Linked DNA regions of Canis lupus familiaris. Each later gene encodes a partner of the first gene's protein in a complex. Links are inferred from orthologs where the notes say so. Each region holds a gene or a part of one and is shown in the gene's direction. Other genes may lie near its edges.

Region 1 (4,143 bases):
CCCGCCCGGCCCCGAGACCGCCGCTGCGCCCTTCCCCGCACCCGGCGTCGCCCAGGATGGCCGCCCCGAGCCACGGGCCGCGGCGGCGCTAGCGCGGAGGGAGCGCCCGACCCTCGGCCCCCGCGCCGGGCCCCGCGTCCCGCGGGCGCCGGTGCCTGAGGACGACGACGCACCGGCTTCTGCCCTGTCCCTTCCCTCGCCTGCCCCGTCCTCCTCCCCCTGCTCGCTGTTGTTGTGTGTCAGCACTTGGCTGGAGACTTGTTGAACTTGCAGGGAGAATAGCTTGCGCTCCCGCTTCGCGCCGGTGCCTTGGCCCCTGCGGAGCCGGCCTCGCCGCCCGGACCCCGCGCCCGGACCCCGCGCCCGGACCCCGCGCCCGCGCCGCCCCACTGCTCCGCGGGGCCAGACCCGGGGCCGCGGTGCCCGGCGGCGGGAGGAGGCGGCGGCGGCGGCGGCGGCGGCGGCCCGAGGGAACCGGGTCCCTGCGCCAGGTCCTTGGACCAGAGCTTTTTCCATGTGGAGGCTCTTTCAATGGACGTGCCCCCGCGTGCTTCTTAGACGGTCGGCGGTCTCCTAAAGGTAGGGGACGAGGGCCCCGGGCTGGGGTGGGGGTACGGGGTAGGGGGTAGGGGCGGGGCGCGGGGCGCGGGCGGCCGCCGAGGGCGAGCGGCTCCTGGGGCCGGGCCGGGCCGGGCGGACGTAAACAGACCCCCTCCGGGTCCACGTGCTGCCGAGCCCCTGCGGCGATGCCCCCACCAGACCGCCCCGGCGAGCCTGGCCCTCCCGGCTCGCGCTCTTCCGCCCCTCCTCCCTTCTCTCTTCTCAGTATTTTATTAGGGCTGTTAACACTTAGATGATTAAAAAAAAAAAAAAAAAAAACCTCGAAGAAGCCCAATCTAGAGGGTGGCCTCTGGATTTCACCCGTTAGTCGCCAACCTTTGCGCCCTGCCATGGCCATCTTCTCTCCCTTCTTCAAGTTTCTCAGGGAGACCTGCTCTCTACTCAGAGCCAAGTCCCATTTAGGAAAATACTAGAAGTTGGGGTTCTCCCTGTTTGTTGCCAGGAATGCGAGGGGGGCAGTACTTAAATGCCACCTTCTGGTGACACGTGACCGAATAGGTATTATTTATGTAACTGGAGGAATATGTATGTGTGTCTGGACTGCATGGGGCGGGGGTTCGGGGCTGGGGTGGCCCTGTCCTGACACCTCTGAGGTTAAAGGCGTGGGCCACAAGTTGCAAGTGGCTTCGGAAGTTGTGGCCCTGAGTTTACTGGGTCTGGAAGTCAGAGGGAGGGCGGGAGGGCGGGAGCGAGAGAGAGTGTGAGTGTATGTGTGTATCAGGAAGTTCTATACGGTGCCTGTAAGGAAGTCACATGCACCATCCGTGCGTGTTTATATGCAAGCCAGCGCTGGGCAATGTGTTTGGGTTTGTTTAGCGATCCGGGAGGTGTCAGACCAAGCGGTGGTTTCCCCAGGTTCCCTGCACGGGCTGTCAGCGCGAGTGTCACAGAAGAAAGGTGACAGTCTTGACGCTGGTGGGGTGTGTGTGTGTGTGTGCGCGCGCGCGCGCAAATCGTGCCGGATGGATGAGAGTGAGTTGGAAGGGGGGGGAGCCTTCAGGCTCAGGAACTAGGGGCTTTCCATTCTCCCAAACGTTCGAGCTTAAGACCTTTGAAGTATCCCCGCGAGTATTGCACACCAGGTGGGCACCCTGGAGGGGGAGGCAGCGGCCGGAGCGGGAGCCCCGGGACGCGAGGGCGGGGAGAGGATTGGGCGGGGAACTCGGTGACTCACGTCGGCCCTGTCCGCAGGTCGACCATGGTGGCCGGGACCCGCTGTCTTCTAGCGTTGCTGCTTCCCCAGGTCCTCCTGGGCGGCGCGGCCGGTCTCATTACGGAGCTGGGCCGGAGGAAGTTCGCGGCATCTCCTGGCCGCTCCCCGTCCCAGCCCTCGGACGAAGTCCTGAGCGAGTTCGAGTTGCGGCTGCTCAGCATGTTCGGCCTGAAGCGGAGACCCACCCCCAGCAGGGACGCCGTGGTGCCCCCCTACATGCTGGACCTGTACCGCCGGCACTCGGGCCAGCCGGGCGCACCGGCCCCGGACCACCGGCTGGAGAGGGCAGCCAGCCTGGCCAACACCGTGCGCAGCTTCCACCACGAAGGTGAGGCGTGGAGCAGAGCGTGGGGGCCGAGATGCGCGCGGAGAGTCCCCTCCAGAAGCTCCCCACTGTGGGCCGACTGTTGGCATCCCTGGGAAGGCAGTTCTTGCCTTTGTAAGAACCTTTCCGAACCGAACCTGGCTTTACCGCGCTGCCTGTGTGGCGAGGGAGCCAGGGATTCCCCTTTGGTCAATCTGCACCCTTTTCCTGGCCTGCAGCCAGGAGAGCGACTCCTCCTCCAGGAACTGGAGAGAAATCAAGTGATGGGGAAGATGAGGGCAAAAGGCATGCCCCTAGTCAGCTAAATGTGCAAGAATTTCATAGGGGAAGAATGAAAAGGAGGGGGGCAGATTGGGATCTCTTTATGTCTGTTTGGAAGCCCTTTTGCCCTGTAAATCTGTTTCTCCTGCTTCAGCTGGGGTTTCAGGCTAGACACAGCCAAGGACAGACTTTTCAGAGATACTATTGAAGAATCAAAGCCAGGGGCCCCAAAGTCTTTCTAATTTACAGTTGATCTGGGCCTGGTTTGGAAGATTTCGAATCCCTATCTAATCCCCGTGAGAGATCAATCCCACAATCAATCTTATTGTTTCCACAATGACTTTCTTGTTTTGTGCTTAAATCTGAGATGAACTCCCTCTTAGAGACAAGGCAAGCCTTCAGATAAAAGCTTTTGCAGCAGCTGCCTGATGGTTCTTTTTTTTTTTTTCTCCATGTGCATTGAAATGTGGATTTTTTTTTTTTCTTTTATGATACTGGATGTGGTTTTCCTAAGGTACGCTATTTCTGCTTGTTTCATTAGAACAGCATTTAGTGGATTTGAAATGTCCAAGAGAAGCTATTGACATCTGTTGTACCCAAGTTCTTGGATCAATTAGTCAAAAATTTTATGTTCCACTTTAGTTCTTTTTCTACACTTTTAAATACCCTTTTGGCTTAATGCATTCCAAATAGAGCACGGGTTTCATCAAGTTCTAGAGAAATCTCCAAAGCTGTGTATCACAGAGCAGTCACTTGTAGATTATTGGGGAATCGGGAGTGAAGTTCCCATTTTCTTGCCTTGCTTCGAGGTGGTAAATTTCAGGCAGAAATCTATTCTCTAACATAAACAAATAAGAACTGTTACAGCTACCTATTTTCTCTCAGTGTGAAGGGTGACTACACTTGTGAGAACAGCACTTAGTGTTGGGAAGAAGTCCTAAAGGCAGGTGGCGTAACCAAAGGTACTTCTTCATCAAAGCAGTTGTACACTGTGAAGGGACACGGGATTGATAACCCATTGATCGTAATCCATCATTTTCCAGCACATTTCCAAGTGAGGTGCTTTTTTGCAGTAGAGCTCCCATGAGAAAGCACAGAAGGCATCCTTCTACTCCTTCAGGATTCGTTCGCTGAGAAGCAGAAGTTGTCTGTTGTCATATGTAGAAATGTTTTCACTCCTATATGCTCTGTCAACATAATCTTGGAATGATTGTAGTAGATGCAGCTCATCATTCCCAGCTGATGCTGATAAGAATTATTTTTCTGGATAGAAAAGTAGCAAGAGCAGCTATTTCAGCCACCTCTCCTGGAAATTTAGCCTGGAACCACTCTTAATTATTTTAAAGGCTAGGAAGGTACTGTGTGTCTCTCATAACTTAAAGGAGGAACACTTAAGTCGTCTGACACCTAAAACATTCAGCTGCATGAGGATCCCGTCAGTGGAGTCTGTGTATTTCTCTTTCCTCTAGGAGTGGCTTGATCAAAACTAAACAGGCTACAAATTATTTGAGTGTGTTATTTTAACCTAAATAGCGTGCTTGAGTTTATAAGTCAGAATTTATAACTTTAAAAGTATGAAAGTTATGTGCAGAGCAGTAGAGAAATTATCAACCTGCTTAAAGTCAACTTACAGTAACGTCAGATCTCAGTGCAGTTAGATGATAGAAAAAGCCATGTAATTTTTGCCTCAAATTTCATCACATCCATTTCTGTTCTTGTTATG
Region 2 (3,512 bases), on another chromosome or scaffold:
TGGGCCCCCCCATCCCCTGCCTCGAGGGGAGGTCCCCTGGGCCCTGCAGGGCTGCTCACCTGGACCCCGCAAGGCTGCGTCCACCGACCCGAGAAGCTCGCCTGGACCCCGCAGGGCTGGGCCCCCCCTTCCCCCCCCTCCCCCACCGCCCCAGGGGAAGCTCGCCTGGATCCCCCAGCGCTGCGCCCCCCTTCCCCACCCCCGGCCCCGAGCGGAGGTCCCCTGGGCCCCGCGGCTGACGGCGCTGTGCTCCCCCGCAGGTGACCGTCATCTTCAAGGCCCACGGCGCGTGCACGGAGCAGAAGGTGTACCAGGCGGTGAGCGACGACCTGCCGGCGGCCTTCGTGGACGGCAGCACGAGCGGCGGCGACGGCGACGCCAAGAGCCTGGTGGTGCGGGAGCGCGAGAGCGGCCGCGCCGTGGAGATGCACGCGCGCTACATCGGCACCACCGTGTTCGTGCGCCAGCTGGGCCGCTACCTGACGCTGGCGCTGCGCATGCCCGAGGCGCTGGCCATGGCCTACGAGGAGAGCCAGGACCTGCAGCTGTGCGTGCACGGCTGCCCGCTGGCCGAGCGCATCGACGACGGCCGCGGCCGGGTGTCCGCCATCCTGGGCCGCCCCGCGCCGCCGCCCGGGCCCGGCTTCTCGCTGGAGGCGGCGCACGCGCGCTGCCGGGAGCGGGTGCCGCTGCAGGACCTCTACTTCCAGTCGTGCGTCTTCGACCTGCTCACCACGGGCGACGCCAACTTCTCGGCGGCCGCGCGCAGCGCCCTGGAGGACGTGGCGGCGCTGCACCCGCGGCGGGAGCGCTGGCACCTGTTCCCGGGCGGCGGCGGCCCCGCGGGCGCGGGCGCGGGCGCGGGCGCGGGCGGGGGCGGGGCGCGGGCCCTGGGCGCCGGGCTGGCGGGGCTGCTGCTGCTGCGGCTGCTCTAGGCCTCTAGGCGGCGCGGCGCGGGGCTGGGCTTTTTTTTTTTTTTTTTTTTTTTGGTCTATAACAGAATTTTAAAATATATATTGTCATAATATATTGAGTAAAAGAGTATATATGTATATAGCGTGCAGCCGCCGGCGCGGGGGCGTGCGGAGGGGCCGGCGGCGGGGACGGGGGAGGCAGCGGGCCTCGATTGTACTGATTTTTGTTTTGCAGTTTTGTGAAATATTTTATAATGTCCCTCCCTGGGGACCTGTTAGAAAGCACTTTATTTTTTATATATTAAATATTTATGTGTGTACCTGGTTAGTACGTACAGTACCTATACGCAGACCCCCCCCCCCACGTGCCCCTGGAGAGGACCGGGGGCGGGCGCTGTCCCATCCCCCCCTGGCCCCCCTCCTCCCCACCCCATTCCGCGACAGGTGGCCTCACCCCGGCCTGCCCCCCCCCCCGCCCCCCTGGAGGCCGTCACCCTGCGAGGGGCAGGGAGAAGCCGCCTGCGGGCCCTACGGATCGTTCCACTGAGCACGTCCCGCACGGGAGGTTGAGCCACACAAAACTGCTGTTTCCATAGGCCCGAAGGGGCAAGAGGTGACAAGGTCATGGAGAGGTACCAGGCGCTGTGCTAGACTCCCCCGCCCCCGCCCCGAGCGCTCAGACTTTTGCTCATCCAGGTCCCCGGTCCCACTGTCCCCCCTTTGCCCGCGCCTGGGTGCAAGCCGGGGCCTCGAGCCGGAGCTGGGTGCCCTGGGAACCGCGCTGCGCCCGGCTCCACCCCTGGAGGGCCCTCCTCGCCCCCCCGCCCCCCCCCCAAGCCCGGAGCCAGGCTGTGTTGGACGCTTGCCTCCTGGCAAGGCCCGGGCCGCCCGAGAGCAGGGCCTCCCTGATGCGACTGACAGGGGGGCTGGCTAATCCAGGCCTGGTGGCGCCCCAGGCCGCGTGTCTGTCTCTGTCATCCCCTCCTCGGGCTGCTAAGAGAGGCTCCTTAGGCACCTGCTCGTGGAACCTGGTTAAACTCCCATCAGGTACCTCCTTGCCGCCTCCCTTTCCCCGTTGGCGGCCCCGGTGCTAAAGGAAAGCCCCACGCCCCAAGTGCAAGAGCGCGAGGAAGGGAGTGCTAGGGGAGGGAAATTTCTCGTTTGTCTATGTAAGTGTTTGGTCCCAAGGAGCAAGGACACAATTTTTACCTTAGCTCAGTGCAAAAAAAAAATGAACTTGAGCGACCACAGCAGTGTGCATCCAGAGCGTGCTGAGCTGTAGCGGGCCAGGCCTGGCATCCCTGCCTTTCGCCACGTCCCGTTGGTGAGGGGCACTGCCAGAGGCCCCGACTGGCAGGAAAAGAGGATTTCGCTTTGCGGAAAATTCTATTTCGTCATGAACTGATCGGTCATCCAATCGCAGGATGGAGCTGTGGGTTCATCTAGAGGTGGCGACCGTCCTCTCTTTCTGTGATCTAGGACAGAGTCGCCTTGGCGAGTCTGGGAAAACCACAAAGGCATCCGGCTTCTGACGTGATAGAGATGCACCACCAGAGAATTGAAACCTAAACCAGTTAACCTTTTATAAAAACTGGACTGGGGGCGTACCTGCCATCAGCTCTGAACTGGGGCTGTGTTTGTTCACCTGGGGAACCATGGGCCAGTTCAGAAGCTAGAGTTAGCTAGTAACTTTGTTATGTAACAGAGTAGAACAAAGGAGGGAAAATAGAGTACTTATAACCACTATTCTTGTGCAAACAGTATAATGAAAGTGAAGTAAAAGCGGTAGAAACTCCTACAGTATCTGGCCTTAGGGCGTAGATGAACGATGTAACCTTTGTCCTTTTCAGGGAAAGCAAAACCACCACCTCTACTAACAGTTGGGGAAGGACAGACCCTTAACTCAGGCCACGTTGCCCTATCGGAGAGCTGGCGAGGCCCCTGCCAGGCATTCTGTGTCACTCGCATTCTTACCAGTGTATTTGGCTCTTGTGCCTTTACAATCCGAGTCCCTGTACGACCTTTCCCATCCCCACAGGTAACTGAGACATACAGATGCTTCTCTAGTGGAAGACCAAGTTATTCTTGTTTTTGTCCTAGCACTTCTAGAGAAAATACTACTTGTGCATTTGGGTTCTTGAAATTCTCCTTAGCCCAAAGTTTCAGGTTCTACCAACATCTGGATAGGCTGTAGCTATTCAGAGGTCTCCTGGGGGAGCTTAAGACTGGGGGGGGAAACACTGGTTTTCACAGATGCGCCACATGGCTGTCTTTTAAAAGACTCAAAGCCTATTTTTTTTGTCCTTTCCTTCTCTTTGTTATGCTTGGAAATTCCCAGTGTGTCGAGTCTTTGCAAAGAAACCTTTAGATGTGGTTCATAGGTATATGAATAAGTATCTGTGTAAAACAGTGAGTGTGCAGTGTGTAAATACTTTAAATTATTATGCTAGAAAAATAAAGTTACATACCATGCTGTGGAATGTTTGTTCTGTGATTATAGTGACACCTGCTGGAGGAGCTGCAAAACACAGGAGCTGAGAAAAGGGAGCCAGAGGGGCTTTGTGCAAAGTCCTTCCTTGGTGATTACTGACAACACGT
Region 3 (2,730 bases), on another chromosome or scaffold:
CTATCATAAATAAATAAAATTAAAAAAAAAAAAAAAAAAGATGGCTGTGGACCGTATTAGTTTCCTGTTGCTCCTGTAACAAATACCACGAAGTCAGTGTTTCAAACAAGCAGAAATGTCTTCTCTTGTAGCTCTGGAGGTGAGAAATCTAAACTGTGTCTTTCAGGGCTAACATGAAGGTGTTAACAGGGTCAGTGCTTTTGGCTTCCAGGAGAGTATGTTCAGGGCTCTTCCAGCCTCTGGTGGTTGCCAGCATCCCTGGGCTATGGTCATACCCCTCCAGGCTCTGCCTCCATGGAAAGAGCCTTCCGTCTTTGATGGTCCAACCTCTCTCTGGCTCCATCTTAGGAGGACATGTGTGCTTGTATGCAGGGCCCACCCAAATAATCCAGGATAACTTCTCCATCTCAGTATCCTGAACCTAAACACATCTGCAGAGTCTCTTTTGCTTATAAGGTAACCTTCACAGGTTCCTGGCATTAGGGCCTGATATCTTGAAGGCCATTACTCAGCCTACTACAATAGATAATGAAGTTTTATTTTTAATTAGCTGTGCTTTTCTTTTTATGGTTCACCTCTATATATAGTAAATGAGCTGGTTTTCTATTTAGGGTAGTGATCTAAAGTTCCCCTCCTAAGTCAGTTTTCTCTTTTTTTTAAAAACAAGTTGGTTTTGTTTTAACTAAGTTTTTTAATTCCAGTATCGTTCCAACACGGTGTAATTTTTTTTAAACGATTTATTTATTTATTTATTTATTTATTTATTTATTTATTTATTTATTTATTCATTCATGAGAGACCCAGAGAGAGGGTCAGAGACATAGGCAGAGCGAGAAGCAGGCTCCCCACGGAGAGAAGGATGTGGGACTTGATCTTGGGATGCAGGATCACACCTGGAGCCAAAGGCAGATGCTCAACCCACTGAGCCACCCAGGCGCCCCCAACACGGTGTAATTTTAATCTCAGACGTGCAATACAGTGATTCGACAACTTTATACCACACTCGGTGCCCATCACAAGTATGATCTTCATCCCCTCCCCGTGTCCCCCCCATTCCCGCACCCCACTCCCGTCTGGTCGTCGTCAGTCTGCTCTCCGTAGTTCAGAGTCTGTTTTGTTTCTTGGTCTGTTCTTCTCTCCTTTAACCCCCTTTGTCCTCTAGTAAAACACGTTGCTTTATTTATTTATTTATTTTTTATGATAGTCACAGAGAGAGAGAGAGAGAGAGAGAGGCAGAGGGAGAAGCAGGCTCCATGCACCGGGAGCCCGATGTGGGATTCGATCCCGGGTCTCCAGGATCGCGCCCTGGGCCAAAGGCAGGCGCCAAACCGCTGCGCCACCCAGGGATCCCAACACGTTGCTTTAAAGAAGGATGTTAAGTGCTTCATAATGCCGGTGGCACCAAAAGGTGACCGGGTCGGGCCGGCGGCTTGGGCTTGGGGCACGGCGGGGGCTCCTCGGTCCGGCGCCCCCGCACGCGCCCTGCGGCACCACTAACCCCGTCTCCGTCCCCCCCCCCCCCCCCCCCCAGCTCACCATCATCTTCAAGAACTTCCAGGAGTGTGTGGACCAGAAGGTGTACCAGGCCGAGATGGACGAGCTCCCGGCCGCCTTCGCCGACGGCTCCAAGAACGGCGGGGACAAGCACGGGGCCAACAGTCTGAAGATCACCGAGAAGGTGTCGGGCCAGCACGTGGAGATCCAGGCCAAGTACATCGGCACCACCATCGTGGTGCGCCAGGTGGGCCGCTACCTGACGTTCGCGGTGCGCATGCCCGAGGAGGTGGTGCACGCCGTGGAGGACCGCGACGGCCAGGGCCTCTACCTCTGCCTGCGGGGCTGCCCCCTCAACCAGCAGATCGACTTCCCGGGCCCCGGCGCCCGCAGCCCCGCGCCGGCCGCCGCGGACACCTTCCCCTACGAGGCGGCGGCGGCCAAGTGCAAGGAGAAGCTGCCGGTGGAGGACCTCTACTACCAGGCCTGCGTCTTCGACCTGCTCACCACCGGCGACGTCAACTTCACGCTGGCCGCCTACTACGCGCTGGAGGACGTCAAGATGCTGCACTCCGACAAGGACAGGCTGCACCTGTACGAGAGGACGCGGGAGCCGCCGGGCCGGGCCGCCGCGCCCCGGCCGCGCCTGGGCAGCCTCGCGCTCCTAGCCCTGCTCCCCGCCTTGCTGCGGGCCGTGGCCTCCGCCTAGGCCCGAGGGCGCGCTCCTGGCCCCAGCCCGGGGCGGCTGCGGGGGGCGGGGGGGGGGGCGGCCGCAGGGGGCGGGGGCCGGGGGCGCCCTGCACGTCTGCGGAGCTCAGAGGCCGAGGGAGCCGCCGGCCGGCGGGCCGTGGAGCTGGGAGCTGGGAGCTGTGGACGGGGTGACCTCCCCAGCCCCCGCTCCCACCCCCTGCCTGGTGGGGGCCCCGGTGCGGTGCCGTCCGTGACAGTTGAGCTGTGCGAGGGGGGAGCCGCTCCCCTCCACCCGCCCCCAGTGTGAATGTGCAAAACAGCCCCTCAGGCCCGAGCCCCCCACGCCCGCCCCACCCCCGGAGACACTGGGAGACCCTGGGACCGATCAGAGTCGAGCTCCCCCCCACCCCAGCGATGCACTGAATCAGGCCCAGCTGACTGCTGCCCGCGCCCGCCACACGCACACACACACTCACACGAGCACACTCGCACACACTAGGCCGAGGTGCCCAGGCCTCCGCGAGGCTGGACCCCCCCCCCCCAACC
Region 4 (4,187 bases), on another chromosome or scaffold:
TTACTTAATTTCATCAATGATAAATCTGCATCTCCTTATTCTACACCAAAAATCCTGGTTCACAAAGATGCTAGCATTAATCCTTGTTTGTTTATTTTACAATGGTAATTGCACAATAACACCCATGATAGTTGCACAATACCAATACCAATACTACCACCCACAATAGTTGCACAATAACAATACCAATACTACCACCAACAATATGACTACTTGAAAATATTTTTGCATTTCTTTTTGTCCCTAGAGTAAATCCCACTTGGGATGTCATAGTCAAATTACCGTGTTTTAAAGTCACTTGAATAGTTTGGTTGGCATTTCATATTTTTGCAATAAAATCCTTGTGCTATGGACTCATGTGGTTGAGAGAAATCTAAATTTTTCAGAAATATATGCATAATAAGAGTACTGTGCAGACTGCTAGATTCTGAATTAAATGCAAACCAATTAAGCAAATGCCTTAGTGACACTATTTGGAATCAGGCTTTGTGTTCACTTCACTTGGCAAATATAAGATGATGATCCCAGATGCCTATAACTGCAAAAATAAGATATGGCTAAATTCCTTGGTTGCAATATCTTAAAAGGTCACAAGATTATGTTATTCCACAAAAGTATCTTTCTGAATCTCTTCTTATCTCACTTTATCTTTCCAAGTCCCAATCCACCCCCCCAACGCTGTGGATTAATAACCTTCAAAAAACTCTATTCTTATTCCTTCTTCACCTTTTTGCCTCTGTTAGCCTCCTCCTCTAACAACTAGGGAGCTTATATTTTGTGTGTGAATTGGTTAAGAGGGAAGGAAGAGGAATTACTGTATAAACTAAGAGAATGAAATGGAGGAGACAGGGGGATAGACAGCTGCAAGGATCTGTTCTGGTAGACTGAAACAGACCTAGGCAACTCAGAGCTCGGATTTCTCCACTGGACAGCTGGCTTTTTTAGTCCTTCTGAAATACTCTGCAAAGATGGGGGAAGGGGTGTGAACTACCTCTGCTATGGACCCTATCTGAAGTCACCTACCTTCTAGATGTGACCAATAGAAACTAAATGCAATCTTCAATATAGCAGGGATGAAAGCGGTGAAAGAAAGAGTGTAATTTCCCACTCTACTTTTTAAAGGCTGGGAGCTCATTACTGAGAATGCTGGAGGGCTGCCTGGAGTAGGCAGTGACTAGAGTCACATAACCTGGAAGTGGATATCTGACTTGCCTATAATATTTCTGTCGCCCCTTCCCCACTTGGCACTCTATATTCCATATTCTTTCTAATCCTTCTACCCTCCCCATCCCCCCAACCCACACCCTACCGCCACTGACGTTCCTGGAATTTTGGACTTAGCTATTTTTAAAACAGTCAACTCAGTAGCCACCTCCCTCCCCCGCTCAGCTGTCCAGTACTCTGGCCAGCCATTTACTTCCCCTTCCCCCCACCCAAATCTTCTCTGGTTCCCTAACCTCAGTGAGATTGCAGCCAGTCTGGGGACCTGGGGGAGACATGGAGAAAGACGGGGGATCCCCTGGCTGGAGCTGACCGACAGAGTAGGCAGTCATGGCTGGAGAATTGGATATCAGAGTAATGTTTGTCCTCTGGAAACAGTAAGTCAAAATGAAATTGCAATTCCTTTAATACGCTTTTGGAATGAAGTTAGACTTTCAGAAAATTATGACACCTACTTGAATGTCTCTAGTCCAAAAGCTAGGATCTCTTTTCATACCAAGGTGCCCCATCTCCATTTCTCCTCCTGTCTTATTTCTTTCTGGCTGCTGGCCACTTGCCTCTTGAAGTTTCATCTTCTGTCTCTCCTCTGGCCGTTTTAGCTCTCTCCTTACTCTGTTGCCTCAGACTTCTGGTGAAGTTTTAGGAGTTTCCTATATGCCCTATTCTGTAGTTTTCTCACCATGGCCAGATTTAGCCTCAGATGATTAGTCACTGGTACCCTTCTACCTGCCCCTACTTGGCAGTGACCTTCACATTGGGCTTCCAAGGGTAGGGGCTATGTCTTGTTGTAAATTATTTATTTACACACTCCAGTCTTCCCACCCTATTCTCCCTCCTGCATGACTTTGACCCCAATCATACCCTTACGCCAAGAATGGGGAGTTTGGCAGGAGGGGTTTTGCAGGAGGAGTTTTGCAGAGGACAGGCCCCAAGGCCCCAAGGCCTGTCCTCTGCAAGACTGAGAACTTCTGAATTTGCAAAGGAAAGATGAAAAGAGTGATTCTTCAGTCAGATTTGGAAAAATAAAAAAAATGCAAGAACTGTGGACTCAACACACACAAGAATGGATTTGCATGCTTGGTTTGCATCCCGTTATTCTGTGAGAGAGAGGGATTATAATCTTAGCTGTCTCAGATGAAAGAGATTGGTCCCTTTTCATTTGAATACTGATGTTCTAAAGAGGGAATGGGTATTCCACCCTCACTCCTTCTTGCTAAAACATTCTGACACAAAGGAGGAAGAGAAATGAATGACCCCTGGAGAGTGTCCCCTCTGGATGGGGAGAAGCAAATAAGAGGTGTGTTTTTGAAATATTTTTAAATCCTAATTATATTGAGGAGCCCACTGGGATGACTGGGGTCTGATCCATCCCCACAATTCCTCCTTTTTTTTTTTTTTTTTTTTTTTTTTTGACATTCTGCTGTTTGGTAGCTCAGGATGGGGCAATACAGTGGACTCTGCCCGCGCCCCCCCCCCCCCCCCCCCCGCCAGTCTAGTCAACCTTCCTTCCACCCCCACCTCAGGGTGTTGCATAAGGGACCTGAAAGTGGCCACAAGAACAAGGCACAGAGGCTTAACAGCCACACTTACAGTTGGGAGAGCCCTATTCTCCCCAAACTCCCGACCGCTCATCCTTTTTCCTGATCTTCCCAGATTCTCTTCATATAATCCTGAATGATCTTCGACTCTTTTCTCTCCCCATGCCCAGCCAAGTTTCTTTTTTCAGTCCTTTACAGGAGGTCCGGTCAAAATTCACTAGGTAGGAGGGTCGTCAGCTGGAAAAAGCCGGAGCCTGGGGGGACCTGGCCGCATAGGTATGGGGGATCCAGGCTGGTCTCCCCATGGCAGCCCCCCAACTCTAAGCACTCTCACCCTCCTGCTCCTTCTCTGTGGACATGGTAAGGAAGGGCTAGGGAAGGGCTGGGGAACCTAGAGGGTCCTCTGCTGTGCAAGGGTGGGCAGGTGAGCATGTGTGTAGAGAAGGGACAGGTGCTGGAGAGTTCCAGTCACTCGCCTGGCTCTCAAATAGATATATATTTTATTTCCCATTCGCCTTGGGGAAGGACACTGGAAAAGCGCTTGATCCGTAGGGAGAAGAGACCTAGCGGGCTTACACATTTTTAGCAAGACGTAGTGAACACAGGAACTAGGGAGCTGGGGGCTGAGGACCAGGGACTGGACTGGAACTTGGGATCAGTTGGGTTTTAGGAGCAGCTGAAATTTCCTTCATCAGATTTGGGAGAATTAAGTGGGGATCCAAGAGCCATCTCACAATCCTCTCCCTTTGTCCTCAGCTCACTCTCAATGCAAGATCCTCCGCTGCAATGCTGAGTATGTATCATCCACCCTGAGCCTTAGAGGTGGGGGTTCACCGGGAGCGCTTCGAGGAGGAGGAGGAGGAGGAGGAGGAGGAGGAGGAGGAGGAAGGAGAGGGGGAGGGGGAGGAGGAGGAGGAGCTGGAGGAGCTGGAGGAGCTGGAGGAGCTGGAGGAGCAGGAGGAGGGGCAGAAGCTGGGGGCCGGGGTGGAGCCGTGGGCTCCGGCGGCCTGTGCCGAGCCCTCCGCTCCTACGCTCTCTGCACCCGGCGCACCGCCCGCACCTGCCGCGGAGACCTGGCCTTCCATTCGGCCGTGCACGGCATCGAAGACCTGATGATCCAGCACAACTGCTCCCGCCAGGGCCCCACGGCCCCTCCCCCGCCCCGCGGCCCAGCCCTTCCGGGCTCGGGCCCTGTCCGCTCCTCTGGCCCCCCAGCCCCGGACCCCTGTGACTACGAAGGCCAGTTTTCCCGGCTGCACGGTCGTCCCCCGGGCTTCCTGCATTGCGCCTCCTTCGGGGACCCCCACGTGCGCAGCTTCCACCACCACTTTCACACGTGCCGTGTCCAGGGAGCTTGGCCCCTGCTGGATAATGACTTCCTTTTTGTCCAGGCCACCAGCTCCCCCGTGGCATCGGGGGCCAACGCCA
Region 5 (4,306 bases), on another chromosome or scaffold:
ATATCTGGTAGAATTAGAATCAGGCCATATATTTTTAAACATAGTCATTTTGATGGATTGTTATAACCCTTATGAGAATGGGTTAATCTCTAGCTTTGTGAAATACAGTGATTGCCTTCCCTCTTTTCTTCCACCTACGCCATTAGGGAAGAATGGAGTTGTTGGCAAAGAGTGGCTTTGGAGGTAGATATTTGTCATTTCTAAAATGAAAACATAATGCATTTATTTTTTGATTATGTAAGGGAAATTTTTTAAGACTGTGAACCTCTCAGGAAAAAAAAAAATCCCTAAACACTGTATCTCTTCCATTCCTGCCCTCGTTTCTCTGAGTGATGGTCTAAGAGTTTTATTGTCCTGTGAATACCCTGAAAAATATTAGAGACCAGTTAAGTTGTGGGTAACCGGTGCATTGAGAAGACTGTTTAAGGCTCCTAAATGCAGACAAAGCATTACTAATTGCTTTCAGGGTCAGTCTGTCTTTAGTTGGACCATGAAAGATTTAGCATGGTCCTATGGCAGCCCGTCTGCTGAGTGGAGACTCTTGTCTTTAAGAAAGGCTGCTATCTGATATGCTAGACCGTTTCAGGTTGCCCCAGTTTACATGAATTCAGTCATTATTGCCAAGACTACTAAACCTCAGTGTGACACAAACGATACCTCTAAATGGACTTGAAGACAAAGGCATTTTGACCTTGCCGTGGGACATAGGTAGTGTTCATACAGCTTAAAATTTTTCCTTTTAAAATATGAAACAATACTTTGCTATTTGAAGTTTCATTTAAAAGATATGTTCATAGAAATTATTTTTAAGATCTCTAAGTAAGCAACATGCCTTTTTAAATAAATCAGAATTTTTCATTGTTTCCCGCTTTTAGATTTATCAACTTTGTGTCTTAATGCAGCAGGGAACTAAATGTCAGTGGAAACATAGTTGTAACCTATCCCCTGGGCTTAGACCAAGCAGTGCCATTGATTCCTGACCCCTCCAGTTCTTTAATATTCTAGGTAGAAGATTGACTGAAATTAGAACTACCTACTGAGATTTTGTGATAGAAAGTGAAAAATAGGGGTATTAGCTGGGTGGCCAAATATATTTTTGCCTAAGTAGAAATTTCAATACTGTAGAATTGTGGATTTTAGTGCTGCTTCTAACTGTTCCTGTTTTTTCGTTTTAAGATGTGATTTTTTTTTTCCTTCAGAAATCTAAGCTAATACAGAAATTTTGCATGCAAGAAGTTTCTTCCACAGAACTATTGTTACCTTTGTGAAGTTGAAAATATACAAAATAGGAAACATCTTTGGGCAGAGGTTGGGAAAATGATAAAGTGATAGGTTAAAATACTTTAGAATTTCATTGACTTTATGTTGAAAATATATAATTTTACACATGACGAATTTTTAGTATTGCTTTTGTGTGTTTCTTTTGGTCTAAGTAAGCTCTCTCTCTTTTTTTTAACAGATTTATGAAAATATGCATCAGTTTAATACTGTCTTGGAATTCATGAGATGGAAGCATAGGTCAAAGCTGTTTGGAGAAAATTGGAAGTACAGTTTTATCTAGCCACATCTCTGAGGTAAGGAAAAGACTTTTAAGAAAATAATTAGAATAATATGAACATTTTCATATCAACTATTTGAAAATAGTCGTGGAAGGTGGGTGGGGGAATGAGCTAAATTGAATTGGGTGATGGGCATTAAGGAGAGTGCATGTTGGGATGAGCACGCGGTGTTGTGTGTAGTGATGAATCACTAAATTCTCCTGAAACCAATACTATACTATATATTAACTAACTTGGAAGGAAAGAAGGAAGGAATTGAAAATAGTCCATGTGTATGTATTACTGCTGCAACTTTATTTTAGTCTTTTTAGTTTCTTTAAACACCTCTTTATGAGTTCATAAGTAGTTCTAATACATTTTCCCCTTCTTATTCATGTTTAAAGTCTTCAAAAATAAAAGGTACTCATTTATTACTGATATCACTTTCTTCACTCTAATTATAGAAAATAAGCATTAGATGATATATAAGGATGTATTTATCCCCCCTAAAGACAACCAGAGTTCAGAATGGAAGATTATGGATGTTTATATTATTTTGAATCTTTCACACATTATAGAATTCAGAATAAAAATGTTGTCTTAAAATAATAGGTTTTTGGAGATAGAATTTGTTTTAAAAGTAGGAACTGTCGTAACACCAAGGGTAGGAGAAAAGAAGCCGTTCTAAGAAAGGGGATGTCAAGTGCATTAATTTTGATCCATTTACAGACTCAGATTATCAGGTAAAAGGTTTGAATTCTTTAGGATCTATATTTTAGAAAAATAAATAGGACATATACTATGAAGTAGTCTGTACTCTTTCCTCGTAGGGTAGTTGGCTTTGCAGCAGTTGGCTGCTGCTTCTGTAGCGTGCTCATTCTTTTTTCTCACTCTGCCTTTGCTCTTTGTGTCTTTGCTCTTTTGAAAAACACTTACAACTTTTTAATTGCCTTTTATTAGGTTTCATACTCTTTGATCACTGTAGTAGTTGCTATTTTCCCTTTTTTGCAGTTCTCTTGGTTTCTATGACCCTGTGTTCTTCTCCTTCTTTTTTTTTTTTTTTTTTTAAGATTTATTTATTTATTCAGTCAGAGCGAGAGAGAGGCAGAGACACAGGCAGAGGGAGAAGCAGGCTCCATGCAGGAAGCCCGATGTGGGACTCGATCCCGGGTCTCCAGGATCACACCCTGGGCTGCAGGCGGCGCTAAACCGCTGCGCCACCAGGGCTGCCCGGCCCTGTGTTCTTCTAGCTCTACTTCTTTAATCACTCCTTCATAATTTTTCTTCTCCTCCTACTCTTAAGTAATGACCTCCACGAGGTTTTATCTTTGAAATTTTTCTGTTTCTTCTTTATGTTTTTCCTGATCTCATTTCAACAGTTACCTCTATAGTGATCTCTCAACCTTACATTTCACTTGTGTCCCTCTCTCTAAGCTTTCGGCCTGTATGGCCAACCGCTCGCGTCGCACCGGGGTTCCCATGTCTGTTAGCGGACATCTCTGTTACCCACACGCAAAGTCTCGGTGCCGGATGTGGTTCCTCACCTTTTCCTTCCCGCTCTAGTCAGAGATGCAGTCCCACCCGGTGGCCTCTGAATGTGCCGTGAATGTTTCCGTCCTTTCTCTTCCAGTCCCCCCATCCCCATCCAATGCTAGGCCCTTCCATTACATTTCACCTGAAATATCGCAGGGCCCTCGCGGTTGGGCGCTTCACTGCTGTGAGAGGAGGGAACAGTCCGGGAGGCTGCACATAGGACGTGATAGTTGAGTAGAGTCTCGAAAGATGAGAAAGATTGCCCAGTGGAATTTGGGAGGCGAGAGAATTTCACGCGCAGAGCTCAGCGTAAGCAAGGGAAGCCTGAGGTATATCGATTGTACAACAGACAGAAGAAATCATTTTGTGTGGTTTGAATTCAGGATATGAGAGCGGCTTTGAGGGACAAGGCGAGGAGAGACCTTGATGGTGAAGGACTCAGTGCTGTGGTCGGGAGTTTAGGCTTTATTTTGTGAATAGTTGGCAGCCACCGAAAAATTTTAACAGAGGCATTTTAGAATCATAATTTGTTTTGCTAAAATTAATCCTGCAGGGATATGGATGATAGTTTGGAAGGAGGAGGGGGACACCAAAAGCAGGCGACAATTCGGATGCTCTTAATTGTTAATTGTTTCAAGCAAGAAATGATGAGGCTCTTGATTTAGGTAGGGATCAACTTACCTGAAATTATGAAAACCTGTAAGCATTGGTTGTTAGCAAACATTCAGTTTTCTTCCTCTGTACCCCTCCGTGTATGTGTGGTACTCTTCAGCCAGTGATTTGAAGCTGCCTGTATTTCTTTGCTCTCTGCTCCTATTATTCTTTTCTCCTGACATGCTTTTTCCACTTTTTCTTGTGGTAGCCCTGTCAACTTTTAAGAACTCCTCTCGGGCAGCCTGGGTGGCTCAGCAGTTTAGTGTCTGCCTTCGGCCCAGAGCGTGATCCTGGAGACCCGGGATCGAGTCCCACGTCGGGCTCCCTGCCTGGAGCCTGCTTCTACCTTTGCCTGTGTCTCTGCCTCTCTCTGTGTCTCTCACAAATAAATAAATAAAATCTTAAAAAAAAAAAATCTCAAGTGCCAATTCACCCCTGAGGTCCTTTGTGATCTATATTTCTTTTTTTGGATGTGTGTGTGCGCGTGCACATGCACAACTGCTGGCAGTGGAGGGAATGTGTAAGGACAGAGAGAGAGGGAGAGAAAATCTCCAGCATGCTCCCTGCCCTGTGCAGAGCCT

Evidence for each region.
Region 2: the proteins of BMP2 (region 1) and RGMB are in contact, whole or in part, in a crystal structure (PDB 4UI2), measured with the Homo sapiens proteins. The link is inferred for Canis lupus familiaris from reciprocal best matches to the Homo sapiens genes BMP2 and RGMB. Residues at the interface, in NP_001191.1 of Homo sapiens: Val308, Gly309, Trp310, Trp313, Met371, Tyr373, Leu374, Asp375, Glu376, Tyr385, Met388; in NP_001353437.1 of Homo sapiens: Lys97, Arg100, Gly101, Leu103, His106, Ser107, Leu110.
Region 3: the proteins of BMP2 (region 1) and RGMA are in contact, whole or in part, in a crystal structure (PDB 4UHY), measured with the Homo sapiens proteins. The link is inferred for Canis lupus familiaris from reciprocal best matches to the Homo sapiens genes BMP2 and RGMA. Residues at the interface, in NP_001191.1 of Homo sapiens: Val308, Gly309, Trp310, Asp312, Trp313, Met371, Tyr373, Leu374, Asp375, Glu376, Lys383, Tyr385, Met388; in NP_064596.2 of Homo sapiens: Arg91, Arg94, Gly95, Leu97, His100, Ser101, His104.
Region 4: the proteins of BMP2 (region 1) and HJV are in contact, whole or in part, in a crystal structure (PDB 4UI1), measured with the Homo sapiens proteins. The link is inferred for Canis lupus familiaris from reciprocal best matches to the Homo sapiens genes BMP2 and HJV. Residues at the interface, in NP_001191.1 of Homo sapiens: Phe331, Pro332, Ala334, Asp335, Leu337, Asn341, Ile344, Val345, Leu348, Ser351, Val352; in NP_001366281.1 of Homo sapiens: Leu40, Asn43, Tyr46, Val47, Tyr86, Leu101, Ala102, Ser105, Ala106, His108, Gly109, Ile110, Asp112, Leu113.
Region 5: the proteins of BMP2 (region 1) and BMPR1A are in contact, whole or in part, in a crystal structure (PDB 2QJ9), measured with the Homo sapiens proteins. The link is inferred for Canis lupus familiaris from reciprocal best matches to the Homo sapiens genes BMP2 and BMPR1A. Residues at the interface, in NP_001191.1 of Homo sapiens: Lys297, Pro330, Phe331, Pro332, Leu333, Ala334, Asp335, His336, Ser339, Asn341, Ile344, Val345, Leu348, Asn350, Ser351, Val352, Asn353, Ser354; in NP_001393490.1 of Homo sapiens: His66, Cys67, Pro68, Asp69, Ile77, Thr78, Asn79, Phe83, Ile85, Cys100, Met101, Lys102, Glu104, Gly105, Phe108, Gln109, Asp112, Arg120, Ile122.

Annotation. Positions count from the first base shown.
Region 1 is NC_049245.1:15,658,350-15,662,492, reverse strand, and holds the start of BMP2 (bone morphogenetic protein 2), read left to right. Parts: upstream 1-1,342; 5' UTR 1,343-1,417; coding exon 1,418-1,518; intron 1,519-1,812; coding exon 1,813-2,162; intron 2,163-4,143. UniProt on the Homo sapiens protein: Growth factor of the TGF-beta superfamily that plays essential roles in many developmental processes, including cardiogenesis, neurogenesis, and osteogenesis. Induces cartilage and bone formation.
Region 2 is NC_049224.1:11,451,348-11,454,859, reverse strand, and holds part of RGMB (RGM domain family member B), read left to right. Parts: intron 1-260; coding exon 261-846; intron 847-2,764; coding exon 2,765-2,952; intron 2,953-3,512. UniProt on the Homo sapiens protein: Member of the repulsive guidance molecule (RGM) family that contributes to the patterning of the developing nervous system. Acts as a bone morphogenetic protein (BMP) coreceptor that potentiates BMP signaling. Promotes neuronal adhesion.
Region 3 is NC_049224.1:47,576,117-47,578,846, forward strand, and holds the end of RGMA (repulsive guidance molecule A), read left to right. Parts: intron 1-1,531; coding exon 1,532-2,203; 3' UTR 2,204-2,218; downstream 2,219-2,730.
Region 4 is NC_049238.1:59,452,108-59,456,294, reverse strand, and holds the start of HJV (hemojuvelin), read left to right. Parts: upstream 1-1,387; 5' UTR 1,388-1,598; intron 1,599-2,947; 5' UTR 2,948-3,037; coding exon 3,038-3,119; intron 3,120-3,515; coding exon 3,516-3,618; intron 3,619-3,732; coding exon 3,733-4,187. UniProt on the Homo sapiens protein: Acts as a bone morphogenetic protein (BMP) coreceptor. Through enhancement of BMP signaling regulates hepcidin (HAMP) expression and regulates iron homeostasis.
Region 5 is NC_049225.1:35,396,328-35,400,633, forward strand, and holds the start of BMPR1A (bone morphogenetic protein receptor type-1A), read left to right. Parts: upstream 1-1,500; 5' UTR 1,501-1,574; intron 1,575-4,306. UniProt on the Homo sapiens protein: On ligand binding, forms a receptor complex consisting of two type II and two type I transmembrane serine/threonine kinases.